Linked DNA regions of Oreochromis niloticus. Each later gene encodes a partner of the first gene's protein in a complex. Links are inferred from orthologs where the notes say so. Each region holds a gene or a part of one and is shown in the gene's direction. Other genes may lie near its edges.

Region 1 (7,651 bases):
TAAAATGATGTAAGGACACGAGCATTTCAAATATGCAAATAAAGCTCTGCTGCAATGTCAGAGGAATTTCTGGACAATCGCAGCCTCTAACAGCAGGAAGTCAGGTGTTAGTTTCATTCATCGCATCAGGTTTGAACTTGTCAGATACTTCAGAAACGGTTCAACGCTTCAGCGCAGAAAAAATGTGAGCGCGTCAGACTGTTTGTGCCTGGAGTGAAATTGCTGCTCAGACTTACAACCGGCCGACTTGGTTATTACAGATATTTAACTTTTTGCCCCCAAAGAGGCCACAGGGTTCAACTAGTGAGCAGTTTGTGGGTGAGGGGCATGTCAAAGTGACATAAGTAGAGCAGGTGTTGCACCTACAGGATATGTCATTTTCCATCTGCCTTCAGTCCAGCTGAGGGCAGGTGGAGGCACCGACAGTGATGCTTTTACACTGTAAAATGTAATATTGTGTTTAATTAAAAATATTAAATAGGCTGAACTCAGTTTTTATCAATTTGTTATTAGAACTCAATTTAAATAAGTTACCAGTACTTTTTATGCAAAAACGCTGATAAACTCAATTTATTTGAGTTGTCTTAACTTAGAAAAACTAAGTAAGCTGGAAGTTTTGCTTCTCAGTGCGGAAGGATGAAAGATGTGTTTTGAAAATGCCACGTGACTACAGTCCTCCTCCCTCTCGGATCAGTCCGCATGTTCACGGTGCATTTTTTATGGAATATGTTGAGCAAACCTGGAGAAGCGTCAGCTCAAGATATTATTGTTGTCATTGCTGTGGATCTTTACCTGATACACTGACTTGGTGAGTAAATGTTTACTCTTATTCAAACTGATTTGTGGCTTCTCTTAGTTTAGCACCAGGTTTAAAATCTTGCTAGCTAGTTAGTGTTAGCCTAGCGTTGCTGCTGCCGCTGGGCTCATGTTACTTAAAAATTAACACCACAGCCTTAAAAACCTTACATAAAACTATGTGGTGAAATTTTCTGTTGATTGTTTGAAATAAATAAGTGAGATAAGAGCCCAGACAAAATTCTTCGGGAGGTGCAGCCGTTAGGGGTGGGGTAGGTGTGGGATGTGGGGGGTGGATAACAGAGCTCTCCGAAAACGTGGAAGCACTTTTGCAAATATGTGATATTTTGATAAATTAAGTAGATATTTGAGCATTACACAGCTACATTCTCGCCTGAAAATATCTTAAAAGGTTATTTTGTGACCCAGAAAGGGTAGTCTGGGGAAAAGGAGGATCGCATTTGTCGGCCACGGTTGTCGGAGCCTGTGCGTACTTGTAAGCGCGGCAATGGCGGAGGAGCGCCGCTGAAAAACTTATTACTTTTTCTGGGTCACAAAATAAACTTTTAAGATATTTTCAGGCGAGAATGTAGCTGTGTAAAGCTCAAATATCCGCTCGATTTATCAAGACATCACATATTTGCAAAAATGCTCCGACGTTTTCGGAGACGTCTATTTTTTTTTCATGCTTTGTGGCAGCTTTAGAACATCTGTGGCATCTATTAATGTCAAATCTAGCCTTTATTTAACAACATAAGCAAACTCTATGTTACAATGATTGCACAGCCATTAAGGATCAAATCAGTTTCTGAAAAATGTTCTGTTTTTTCTCCCTCTGCTTGCTTCTTACTGTCTTTGAGGCCGATCGGGACCAGCACTCCTGCTGTTGGACAGAAAGACATCAACTCAGTGGTAAGTATTTTGGTTTTCCAATATATTAGCAACTGTCAGTGACATTTATATTAATCAGGCTGAACTTTAATCATACTTTAGATCAGCCTGTTTTACTTATTGTTTTATTTGTGCTTTGGTTTGGGGAAGTTGTTTCTTTACTGATCTTTTCCTGTCTTCTGTTATTAGACTTGAGATATGACTGCACTATGCTGTTGCTGGTGACTCCAGTTAATTCTACAAGACATGCTGTGTAAGTAAACAAACAACAACAGTTTAGTCTGCATTTCTTGAAAGATCACATCCCCCAAACTTAGTTTAGAGGGTCTACACTGTATATAGTGAAGTCTGCAAGTTTTCTAACAGCAAAATTTGTTTTGTGCCCAAAATCATTTTGCACATCATTAGAATGAAAGTTATTGGCCATGTTTGCATAGCCCTTTTTAAAATGATGCTTTCATGACATTATTGTATGCTGGGTGGTGGTCACTATGCAGACTGACAATTGGGACATTGAATGTCACCTCTCCGGTGGGGAGGGAGCCTGAGATCGTCTAAATTGGAGTCTGTTCTATACCAAATGCAGAAAAAAATGTTTTAAGAAAGCAATTAAGTTCATGTTCCAAAAAATATGACTATTTGCTTGCAGGACACCAGGAGAGATGAGTCCTCCGTCACAGATGGTGTGGTCAGTGAAGATGGTCGCCTGCAGGTTCAAGCTCATTGCATCTCCAACCCACATCCACTGCCAGTGTACTTAAGGGAAGTTAAAGACTTTCTTCTGCACCTACATTTGGATCACCTCGATCCATGACAGTCATTCAGGCAGTAATGCCTGGACTGGAAACAAGCCATCCTTAAAATAATACAACATTCCAGCTCATGTGTTGGAATGCAAAACAAATGTGTTGTTTAAATTAGAGACTGCACTTGTGACAGAACGATAAATATTTTATTCTGATTATATAAGTAATGTAAGTACAAAACAAACTGTGGTAGGCCTAAACTTATTTTCAGAATAATTACATCTGAGACTTTGTTTCATTGTAAGATTATAACAGTGATGGCAATATAATTGTTTGTTGTTCAGCAGAACAGTGTCCAGTATGTTGGCTGTTGTACTTTGTGTTTGAAAATAAAAGTTGGGCTCATTTTAACATCATTACAAAAATTGTTGTTAATTATTTTTAATCATATTCATGTTACCACAAATTGTTTTTTCATTTAGTTGAGCTTAACATTTTTGTCAGTAGGTAAACAATTAGTATTGTACAGTCAGAAATATCAAGTTATTGTTAATACTGCAGACTTGCAATGTATAAGTTGTCCTAACAGTCATCTTAAGTAAGCTTTACTTAGTTTTTTTGAGGCAACGAGTTTCCATAATTTTTTTGAGTTCTGGGAACTAACAAGGCTGTACAGTGTACTCAAAATGAGTAAGTTGCCCTAACTTGGTCATCTTATGTAAACTTGATCCAATTTTTTTGAGTTCTGGGAACAAATGAGCTTGTACAGAGTACTCAAAGTAAATAAGTTGACCTAACTTAGTCATTTTTAGCTAAGCTTTACTCAATTTTTTTGAGGCAACGAGTTTCCATAATTTTTTTGAGTACTGGGAACTAATTAGATTTTACAGTGTATTTGCTTTGAACAGTAATCAGATTACAATTTAACTTTTAAGTATATTATCATGAGGCAAAATAACTTTAGTTGTCATTTTGATGTGTATTTGGGATCATTGTCATGTTGGAACGCTGAGTTATGTTCAATTTTCAGTCATTTAGCTGTTAATTTGAGCTAAGTTGAAGTTTATTGAGGTATTCATGCTAAATTACAATGTCCCAGAACACTGGCAGCAAAACAGCCCCAGATAGAGCATGATGCTACCACCGCCATGCCTGACAGCTGGTACAGGGTTCTTAGGTTTGATAGCCTGACCTTCACTCCTCCAAACATTCCTCTTGTCATTGTGGACAATTAGCTTGATCTTTGTCTCATGTGACCATAAAACTGGCTTCAGAAGGCATTTGTCTTGTCTGTGTGGACAGCTGCAAATTTCATTCAAGCTTGAAGGTGTCTTTTTGGAGGGGGGACTTCTTTCTTGGTTGATAGCTATGTAAAACTGGCTTCACTGTGGACAGAGACATAGGTGTTCCAGAAGTTTCTAGTTCATGGCAGGCTTGAGCCTTAATGGTTCCTGGGTTGTTCCTGAATGTCCCAACCAATTTCCTCTCATCTGAGAATGACAGTTGGGGTCTTCTTCAAGACCTCAAAGTGTTGACACATCCAAATGATGCATGCAAACTGATGATCTTTGAATTTGCAGTTGTTTACAAATGGCTCCGAAAACCTTTGTAAATTGTGTAAATCTACAATAATCTTTCTTAGATCTTTACTGGGTTCCTTGGACTTTCCTATTATTCTGAATCAGAACCACTTATTAAAAGATTTAAGTTAATTTATACATTTGAGACAGTATGTATACTTTTGAAAATCCAAAATAAATTCAAACTTGCGCACCCAATTATTTTTAAAGTCATTAAAGATGTATACTGTACAATCATCCCACTCTAGAAAAACTAAAGTTTAAAGAAGTAATTAAAACCCCCAAATTATTGGAAACTTCTGACCACATCTGTACATATTCCTTATTTAGTATGTTCTTTGCGCCACCTGCCTGCAACTGATCGTATTGAAGATTATAAATGGTTGCTATCCTGTCACAAATCACTCCTGACATTGTCTCCACCCGCTCCATCCCTCCTCCACCCTCTTTTTCTCCTTTCTTGTGCGCTGTCCCTTGCTTTGATGGTTGACCCCAGCTTGTTTCTCTCATGTCTCTCATGGTCTTAACGGTTTCTGTTCTGCTCATAATAAGCAGTAAAATAAATAAATGAACAATGCGGTTTGGGTGTGGTGTGAACCCCTGACCGCTAGGTAGCGGTGTGTAAAAACACGCAGACTCCTCAGGAAGCAAAGTGCAGGACTTCCGGTCGGCGGTAAAGCGTGTGCTGCTGTGAAGTGCAACGTTATTGTGACGAAAGGATATCAAACGTATACCTTAAAACGCACAGTGCTTATTTAATTTGAGCTAAAATGGTGAGTAAAGCTCGGAAACACTACCTTTTAGCTTCACCGGATGTTTTGGGGGGATTTTTTACTCAGAAGGGCGCGGGAATAGCGACTAGCCTGTTAGCTGGTTAGCATAGGCGAAGCTAGTATCTCATTCATAACTTTATAGTGAATGAATGAATCCTCACACGGAAAGCAGCCTCGCATTTTATGTTTATCTACGGAAACATAATTCGGCTGGTTTCAATGCTTCCCGTTTATTTGCTGTTTGTTTATTGGCGCTTTTCTTCCTGCTTGAATCCGTAGAGAGTGTCGCACCAAACTTCATTCAGAAAACGTCTAATTTAACTGCCACACAAACATTTTGAAGCTAAATACTTATAATAACTTGATCATCATAAAATTTACGGTTTATTTTTTAATCGTCTTTGTCTTTGAAAGATTGTGCAAACTGAAAGGAAATGTGCAAGAGCTCTTTTTAGAGACCTGATACCTACTATAGGATCACAGACCAGAATAAGTCACTGCATATGGTTTTGATTTGACATGTACGGGTATTACGATGCTAAACCGTAGCTGTTTGTTTCATTGGGTCTGAATTTAATGTGTGTGTATTTATCTCTGATTGGTCTGCTTCTCCAGAGTTTACCTCTGAACCCGAAGCCCTTCCTGAACGGCCTGACTGGAAAACCAGTGATGGTGAAGCTGAAGTGGGGCATGGAATATAAGGGCTACCTCGTGTCTGTGGACGGGTACATGAATATGCAGGTATGGATCATTTGCCTTGTTCAATTACCTAAAATTTGTTCTACGGTCAAATTTTGCATTGTTTATAGACTAGATATTATGGTAAGAGAAACTGAGACTCGATTTCAAAATAAAAGCAGTTTTTAGCTAATGTGATTTTTAACATTGACAAGCGCATTTAGTTTGCCATTAATGCAGCTGCTGTAGCATGAAAGGTGACTTGGATTTATTTTTCTAAACTTTGTGTTATTCCATATCCAAGTAAAAACAACTGTTAGCCCAGAGTAATGTGTTACCTTTGCCTCCCCTGCTTCTTTCACTGTGTTTGAAGCAGCATACACAGCTCTTCTCTTAGAAGGTTGTTTTTACTGTTGCTTAATGCAACACAGAACTCCTCCAAGCCGTCAGCACACAGTTCCCCTGCATTACCCAGCAACAACAGAAAACTCTTTTGTGGACAGGGATAGCTCAGTAGGTAGCGTGGTCGCCCCATGAGCGGAAGGTCGGGGGGTTTGAATCCACTGAACAGCTACCCTGAGGTACCCCTGGGCAAAGTACCGTCCCTACACACTGCTCCCCGGGTGCCTGATTAGTGGCTGCCCACTGCTTCACTGAGTGAATGAGTTAAATGCAGAGAAAGTAATTTCCCCACGGGGGAATAAAGTATACATTATTGTTATTATCTTTATCATTATTATTATCATTATTATTATTATTATTATTAAAACTCGAGTAATGTGTTCATGGGGTCACACAAGAACCTGTAGTATTTTCCTGTTGAAGGATAAAATGACATCATTGCAAGGAAGCATCATTCCAGTGTTGGGTGGTACACCAGTGACTAGACAGTCACAGAAGAGGGGACCTGTGTTAACTCAAAACTGTCCTCACTTGTAGTTCTAAACATACACCCTGATGAAAATGCACACATATTAATATACTTAAGACAACATCAATAATCCACCTCAGGGAAAACATCCTGATACTCGATAATTTGTGAAGTATGAACAGTTTCTACCCTTAAAAACTGCACATTTATAGAATTACACCACAGGCTATGCTAAACTTAAAGTCAGAGTTTTCTGTATCACCAAAGTGGCTCTGTTTTTACCTGGTGAAATCACTGTGGCAACTAGGATTACATTTTTTTTTTTTATTATTCTTTTATTTAGCGCATGTTTTAAGTATGAATTTGTGCAACTGTGGCGACTGATCATTGCTATTGTCACTAGTCGGTGCTCAATGTACAAGTCATTTAATCTAATTACATTTTATTTAAAGTCCAATGATGGTGAATTGGTGTCCTAAATATTTATACAACCATCTGCCACCAGATGGAGCTGCAGCAACAAGATTTTTGTAGAAAAATGCCATAACTTTGCTAGTCTGGGCCTGATCGTATTGTTAAGGCTCTTTTTAGTTATTTTGATATACAAGCAGTAGAAATGAGCTTTCTCCAAAGGATGGCTGGCCTCTTCATTAGAGGCTCACAGTAGAGCCGCTGCACCTCCACACTGAAAGGAGACAGTTGAGGAGGTCACCTTCTGGGTGAGGTGTTCTAGGTGGACACCCAGGAAGCACCAGAGAGATTTTATCTGTCAGCTGGCCTGGGAACACCTCAGTGTTTCCCTGGATGAGCTGGAGGAGGTTGTTGGGATGAGGGAGATCTTGGCTTCATTGCTCCACCAATTATCTTACCTGACCTTTGAACTTTGTTTTATTTTATTTATGTTTTTTTTGACAGCTGGCAAACACAGAAGAGTATGTGGATGGAGCGTTGGCCGGACATCTCGGTGAGGTTCTCATCAGGTATGTGAATGACACTTTGTAACGCCGCAGAGAGAAATCAGCGGGAGTCCGAACAGTTTGAAGTCGTCAGACTTGACTAACTTGTGTTAATAATTAAGTGACTGGTGGAAGGAAACGCTTTCTCATGCTGTGCTCGACCTCCACAGGTGCAATAATGTTTTGTACATCAGAGGTGTAGAAGAGGAGGAAGAGGACGGCGAGATGCGAGAGTGATGCTGGGCTGATGTGTGTTTGTGTTTTCACCGTGTGAAACAAATGAGGGTTGGGGTTATTTTTCAAGCAGCTTTGAATCTTTTTTTTTTTTTTCCTACTGTATGTGAGACCAGTTTTATGTTGT
Region 2 (7,510 bases), on another chromosome or scaffold:
GGAACACTTAAATCAAATTCCTGTTAGATTAATCTTCACTCTGGGATTGTGCGCACACAAACAAACGGTAACAACCAGTTAAAAGGGTGAACAGGCAGCTCCAAACCTCTTTCATGATTTTTGCTCCTTTCTTGTCATTAAACTCCAGCTGTGCAATGGCCTCATCGATGCTCATCCCTCTGATCTGGAAAAAAAATTAAAAAATATGTGGACCAAATAATCAAATAAAAGTTTCTGCACAGCTGTTAGGACAGCAGGATGCTGGACTGCTTTTTAACTCCGGCACTGAGCTTAAGCCTACAAACCAAAGCGAGTCTATGAGCAGATGTGCCACAAACACAGTGGAATGTGTGCACATACACAGTCTAGCGTTTTGAGATAGGAACATATTTAAAAGAATCTGATTGTCTAGGACTAATGTGAAGTATGAAGAACATACTGAATATATGATGATCATTACACAAAAGTGATTATTTTTTTTTTTACAGTGTTTTAAATAAAGAAGCTGAAATAGTTCCTTGAGCATTTCTGATCAGATGACAACTTTTTAAAATGTGATGCTAACTCTCAGTTCACTTCATTACTTATGCCTGTACACTACAGAGCAGGATGGAGCTGTTGAATGATTTGAATATATAGTACGTCTTACCATTTTGGCCAAATACCACATTTTGTCTTTGCTGTACTTAATCTGCCTCCTACTGTGGTGAATCTCCTGTGGGAAGAAAACACTTCTATCAGCTCCTGTTCAGGACATCTTTTCACTCAGCATCATACACTGGCAGGAAGACTCACTGCTGGTCTGCGAGGCTCATCAGGCAGCTGAGGCGGATACACTTTCAGGTTCCTCCTCTCCCAAGTTTTAGATTCCAGGGATGCGCTGGTGTGGAGACATGAGAGCTGCTGGGAGCCACCACCTAGAATCTGTAACCTGGGAACATGGAGAAAATGTTTCTGAGGTGGGTTCAGTCCAGTAGTGTGAGGCAGGTGTACACCACATCTGTCCATCTGTTATTTTCCACTTATTTAAAGTCAAGTCATTGTGGCAGCAGGCCAAGCAGGGTAGTCCTGACATCGTTCTCCCCAGGAAGAGAGATGAGGAGGATAGGAGAGGGGGAAGGAACACTCCACTTATCAGTTACTCCCCCTGGAGGAACTAGAGAGTGATGCTTTGTAATAAAGAGTTTCTGGTGTTGTTAATATTGTTTCCACTATTGAGCCAGTAAGAGATGGATCTTTGGTGCTTTGGGGTTTTCTTTTATTAAACTTATGTATGCTATTTACTTTTCTCCCCCCCCCTTTCCTTCCCTTTGGTAACTGCACTCAACTTCACTCAGATCAAATCCCAGTCAGACAGTCATGGGAGGCTTAAGAATGTTGGGGTTTTTTTGTTTGTTTTTTAAAATAGCCTGCAGTTTATTAGCCTTCACAGTAATTTTTTAACCTCTCCCCGTCTAAGTGCATTATTCTGACATGCTTCAGAAAGACAATAATAGTCCCTGTTCCTAAGAAACCCCAGCCCAGCTGCTTAAATGACTTTCGCCCCATAGCACTGACGTCTGTGATCATGAAAGGTGCTGAAAAACTGATCATAACTTTCATCGCTTCCTCCCTGGCTGCCACTCTGGACTCTCTAAAATATGCGCAGATCTGATGTCAAAGAATGACAAATCTGACTGCCAGGATGAGATTAACCACCTGTTGACTGCTGTAAGGAGAACAACCTCAAGATTAATGCCTGTAAGACCAATGAGATGATAGTGGACATTAACATGAAACAGCAGAAAAGTTTCCACCCTCTAAGCATTAAAGGAGCCCTGGTGGATAACTGGAATAACTTCAAATACCTTGATCCTTACATCATCCTAGACACCCCACTGGTAAAGAAAGCCCATCAATGCTTCTACCAACTCAGATGATTAAAGAACTTCAAACTTCCACCCAGGAAAAACCTCAACAGAGTGCATCATTCCCCAGATAGGGAGGTGCACCCGACGGGACATATACATCAAATGCTGCAGATCTGAGCCAATAGGATCTCACCAGATCCCAGCCACCCTAAAAGTCTGTCCTCCAAACTTCCATTGATGAGATGCTGCTGCCAGGACAGAAGAAATTGAGGAGGTGCTTTAACCCTGAAGCTGAACCATGTTGGGGTTTTTTACCACTATGCAATCCAAAAAATGCAATAATTTATCTATGACTATCAAATATACAATAAACAACACGAAATATAAAATATTAGAAAATATCAAAAGAAAGTAACGTTCCCCTGGAGTTGTGTCACTGGTGTTACAGTGTAAGAATTTCCTTAAATTCTATAAGGAATTGCTCGTGGGAAGACCAGAGTCTCTTCATTCATCGGAATTCTTCTCTGTTCTTTCATAACTTCATATGAAGGTTTTAGCTGAACTCGATGGTGTTGTTGTGTGTGTGTGTGTTTGCCATATTCAGCTTGTTAATAATTTTACATCCATCAAATTTCCAACAAATATTTTAACTGTTAAGCAAATAAATTGTTGCACAAATATCATACAATCACAATTACACCAAACCTGACTGAAAATAATACGTCATAATGAATCATAATAAAAGATCCTTATTTGTTGCATTATTATTATTATTATTATTGTTACTGATAATAATAATAGTATGGTATGGTATGAATTTCAAAATCCTACATCACCTTGCTCTTGATATATCACATTCATGCGATTTTGAGAAAACTTGACCTTGAGACGAAGGTCACTGACATTATAACTTTTGAGATTTTGAATAGTTACACTTATCGTATCAATTTTAGAATCCTACGTGACTTTGTTCTCAACTTATTGCATTCACAAACTTGTGTGTCCACGCTGCCTTTACGGCTGAGAAGTAACACTAATAATACTACTAGTTCAGTTCAGTTCATTTTATTTCAAACATGTCCCTTCACAATCATTACAAAATATCATTCCATTATTTGTTTGAAAAGGAGTAGGCAGAAGTATCTACTTATTTGTCCCTACCCCCTCAAGTTTTACCTCTCATGTATTTAATTTTCTTTTAGTCTTAAATTAAACAAACAACATATGAAGAAAAAGTAAAAAGTGTTTAATAATAACAATAATAATAATGTGATCACTATATGTGCTATAGCAATTAAGGAAATAAATTATTTAATAAAATACCAAAGGAGTAAGGTAACACCTGTGACAGAAAGTCAGCAAAATGTTTTACAAATCATTAAGCTGACATTTTTGTGAACACATAAATTCAATAAGCTAAATAAAGGTTTAAAGGTTATTAAGATTTTTGTTTTCCATATCCTATAAATCAGACATTTCAGTTTAATGACCCTGTTACACATTAGCGTGCAATAAAATGCAGTTACAGTTGACTGGGTAAGGGTGTTGCTGGTTCTGAAGTGCACCGGGATGTCCTATTTGTAGAAAATATCCGTGACTTTCTCTGAGACAAAAACTGGTTTAGCTCAAGGACAAAACTGTCACACAAGCTAAGCCACATAGTGCATGCAGTTCAGCAAGGAGTGCTCAGATCTGCACACAGGAGAAACCCAACAGTCGGTTCACAACAGGACAAAACTCAACTGTACATGTGCACCAAAAGCATAAAGGTCACTTTTTCAGTGATGGCAGTGTTCACATGATAGTCATGGTCTCATGATGGGTGATCAAAAGTGGATCAACGACCCTCAGGACTACCTTCAAAGGATATAACCCCAACTAGAAAATTAAATAAGCGGGACTATACATCACCATTTTTCTTTCTTTTTTAAATAAACTGAAGCAACATCTTGGATGAGAGGTGAAACGTCTTTACAAACCTAAAGAAGTCCAGTAGCCTTCTTTTTCCCCCCAAGACTAACTATGCTGAGTTTCTTGGTTACCTAAACTTGAAGAAATAGCGGCTGTAAAATTAAGATAACCTCCTACACTGTCTTCAAATGATACCCGGAATTCCCACTCTAATGATGCAGGAGTAGGTAGGTAACATAAACAGCCGATCTGAGCTGGATTTGTCCTGCAGAGAGCGTTAGCGGTAAAGCTAACCTGCCACTAGTATTGATGCACTTACCGTGAGAGTAACACCGAAGGTACACTCCTAATAAAAGAGATACCTGAAAAGAAGAAGAGATCGCTTTACTTAAACTGTAGACGAGGTTTATTATAAATACAACGAAACTGTTAACTATTGGCTAATATATCTGCATTGCTCTCACCACGTCCTGTCATTGCAGCCGCCATGTTGGTTTTTTACGACATTTATACCTTCGCTTTATGGCAGTGTCAATATTAGTCTATTGCGTTTTCACAACGCATGTAATTCCTTTACTTTAGTTATTTATCGTCATTTAAACATCGTATTAAAAGGGAAATTAATATATAGCTTTTGTTTTTGTTCAAAATAAATGTCGGAAATTATTGCTTTTAACCCAACAACCTCGGATTTTAGATTGTCCCAGCTAGGCTTCCGTACCAGGCACCGGTAGGATTTACGACACCATGCTGTGTGTACGGCCATAAGTGTTGTAGCTACGATAGTGCAGGTAACATGTGAGAAGTTTGGATTAGGTTTCTAGGACTTAATTAAAGAAAAAAAAACTATTTTTAAAGTATCCAGGTCGTCATGCGGGAACGGTCGCTTCCCGCCTCTCCCAACTGGTACTGCTCGCGCTGCAGTGATGTCAGCAGCAGCGGTTTGCTGGGCGTCGGGGCCAAAAACATCATCTACTTGATAGATGTGTCTGCATCTTCGTGCAGAGTGGCAGGTAAGTGAGCGGTCACCGCTGGACACCACACATAGCACAGGCTTGACCGTGCCATTCATGTTCAAGTCCCTGCAGCCAGAAACAGCGCGTTAAACTCAGGTACAACTTATCTGCCTGACCAAATCGGAGAGATTAGAGGATCTCGGGCTGTGATGAGCTGCAGTGACCAGTGAAAGGATTTTACAACATTCGATGGAAATAAAAATGATGAACTTACCAAAAACACCCCAAAAGTCAATGTGAAAAAATGCAGTGGCAGGCTAATCCATTGTGGTAGTTTGTATGGCCCTCATGTGCTTGTATTAATTTCTGAGAATGTCAGGGCATGCTCCTAATGAGACGATGGATATCCTTTGGGATCTTTTCCATGATCTGTACCAGGAGCTTGTCCTGGTGCTAGTCTGTACACCCAGGTAGCATCAGGTTGAAGAAAACATAATGGCCCAGATGTGTTTTATTGGATTTAGGTGCGGGCCAGTCAGTGTCGTTTCTTCATTCTCCAGGAACTGCCTGCATACTCTTATCACAAGAGGCCGGGCGTTGTCATGCCGTTACCTAACCTGGAGAGGTCTGTGCGTGCCTACAGGGATAGGCCTCCCGAGACCATCACTGGCCCGCCACCACATTCGTCATGTTGAATGATGTTACTGGCAGCATAACGTTCTCCACAGCTTCTCCAGACCCTTTTATGTCTGTCACATGTGCTCATCTGTGAAGACCATAGAGCACCAGTGGTGGATTTCCTGATTCTGCGATTCTCTGGCAAATGCCAGTCAGGGTCCATTAAGTAGAAGGCCCTGTAGAGGACATTGGCAGTGTCCAGCTCTCCTACAGTATCTTTGTGTGTCCTAGAATCTCCTCCATGTTCTTGAGACTGTGCTGGGAGACACTACAAACCTTCTGGCAGTGAAACTTAGTGATGTGCCATCCTGGAGAAGTTGGACTACTTGTCCATGTTCTATAGGGTCCACTATTTTCTACTGGTACTGACACTGACGCTAGCCAAATGCAATGCTAGTAAAAAAAACCAAAAAAGCAGTCAAAAAAGATGAAGCGGGAAAAATATAATTGGCCTCGACTTGTAAAACCACTCCTGTTTTGGGTTTGTCTCATTGTTTCCTCACCTTTTGTTGTCGTTAAATGAGGGTGTGCAGGATGTTGAAGGACACAGGGTGGTCAGGCAGGCTCAGAATAGTGGCTGTTTTTCACCACAAAGCCCTCACTAAAGAGGGTAAAATAGACATATTGTAGATTTTATTTTCTTATTGAAATACCAATAAAAGTCCTTCATCAAACCATCTGTTTGGATCACTTAAATGTGAAAAAAATAAATCTTTTCCACTTTCCCCACTCACCACTGATTTAAGAAAGTGCCAGCACAACTAAATTAAGAAGAAGCCAAAAATAAAGGCATGTGTATGCAGATGGACTGTTTATTTAGATTGGCACTTTAAATCTGGCACAAATCTGTGCTCTCTTTCTAGCAGTGATACTTTTAGCATGCAGGGGTGAGTCTAAAGGGGGCACAGAGGGCATTAAGTTCAGAGCTTTAGTAGCTGTTTACAGTATTTTATAAATTTATAATGAAAAGTTTGTATCTACTAAAACCTCATGATTTACTATTATAGATTAAGTTAGAAGCTGAAAGCAAAAAAAAAGTCATTATTATTATTATTATATTTTCTCCAGTTTATCTTGGGTTTATAACTGTTGGAAGCTAAAATCATGATTGAAATTAAACCGATTAATCCTCCAGTCGCAGTGAAATCAGTGTCCTTTTCTGTGTGTTTTTCAGGTGAGCTCGTGGGCCATAAGGACTTGGTGTCCGGCTTTTCGTTTTGCCAGCATGCAGGGCAGAGTCACATCTGTGTCAGCTCCTCTAGCGATGGCAGTATCCGTTTCTGGGACTCGAGCAGCAAGACTCTTATTAGGGATCACGCAGCTCATCAGGTGAGTGTCCTGTTCTGCCGGTCCACTAACACAGAAAGGGGTTTTGTGTTGTGCTTGCGCCCCCTACAGGATGTTGTGTGCTCTACACCAGCAGCAGAGGGAACTTGGAAGCAGCTTGTATGTGCGTTGTGCTGTCTCACATTGTTTGTTTTTTTTTTCACATTTATTTGAAATGGTCCAGTCTCCTTGATGAGACTGGACCCCTGACCAGGTCTGGAGATAGAAAGTTAAGCATCAGAGCTCGACAGGACTCAGTGGGATGCGCAGCAAAAACATCGTCTGCAGCAGCTCTGTGATTCTCTCTCGAGGGCATTTTTAAAACAGTTGTCAAGGTTACTGAGGGCATTGCATATTTATTTTCCATTATTTGCTTGAGCAGATGCCTTAAAGCAGTATTTTGTCTGTGGATTAATCTGAATAATAAACGGCATGTAATGACATGTTGGTTAAATATCATTGGGAAGATGTTTAAACCAAGAAAGGATATTTATTTGAAAAATCTTGAAACGCATAAAAAAACATTAGTATATTGATTCATCATGCCAAAATGTTAACAAAGGGTTTTACATTTAGATAATAATATCTGGTGTTTAGTATTTGCTATAAATGTCTTTGGAAACAGCTCACTGCCCGTCAGCACCCACCTGACTAAGAAGAAGTTGTGACATGCACTCACTCCTTGTCTTTGTGTGCACAGAGCTCCGTATCAGCGCTGCACTGGTCCCCTGTGGATAAAAACCTGGTGGTGTCCGGGGATGAGAAAGGCGTGGTGGTCTGTCACTGGTA

The links. The genes of interacting proteins can lie anywhere in the genome.
Region 2: snrpf (region 1) and gemin5 share a complex: the UniProt entries of both Homo sapiens proteins name them as parts of the SMN-Sm complex. The link is inferred for Oreochromis niloticus from reciprocal best matches to the Homo sapiens genes SNRPF and GEMIN5.

The regions. Positions count from the first base shown.
Region 1 is NC_031981.2:17,184,179-17,191,829, reverse strand, and holds the start of snrpf (small nuclear ribonucleoprotein F), read left to right. Parts: upstream 1-4,629; 5' UTR 4,630-4,782; coding exon 4,783-4,785; intron 4,786-5,400; coding exon 5,401-5,526; intron 5,527-7,249; coding exon 7,250-7,314; intron 7,315-7,460; coding exon 7,461-7,527; 3' UTR 7,528-7,651. UniProt on the Homo sapiens protein: Plays a role in pre-mRNA splicing as a core component of the spliceosomal U1, U2, U4 and U5 small nuclear ribonucleoproteins (snRNPs), the building blocks of the spliceosome.
Region 2 is NC_031975.2:29,177,658-29,185,167, reverse strand, and holds the start of gemin5 (gem-associated protein 5), read left to right. Parts: upstream 1-4,497; 5' UTR 4,498-4,632; coding exon 4,633-4,774; intron 4,775-6,569; coding exon 6,570-6,724; intron 6,725-7,421; coding exon 7,422-7,510. Other genes in the region: mrpl22 (large ribosomal subunit protein uL22m), read right to left, coding at 107-184, 650-715, 796-931, 4,081-4,123, 4,226-4,250. UniProt on the Homo sapiens protein: The SMN complex catalyzes the assembly of small nuclear ribonucleoproteins (snRNPs), the building blocks of the spliceosome, and thereby plays an important role in the splicing of cellular pre-mRNAs.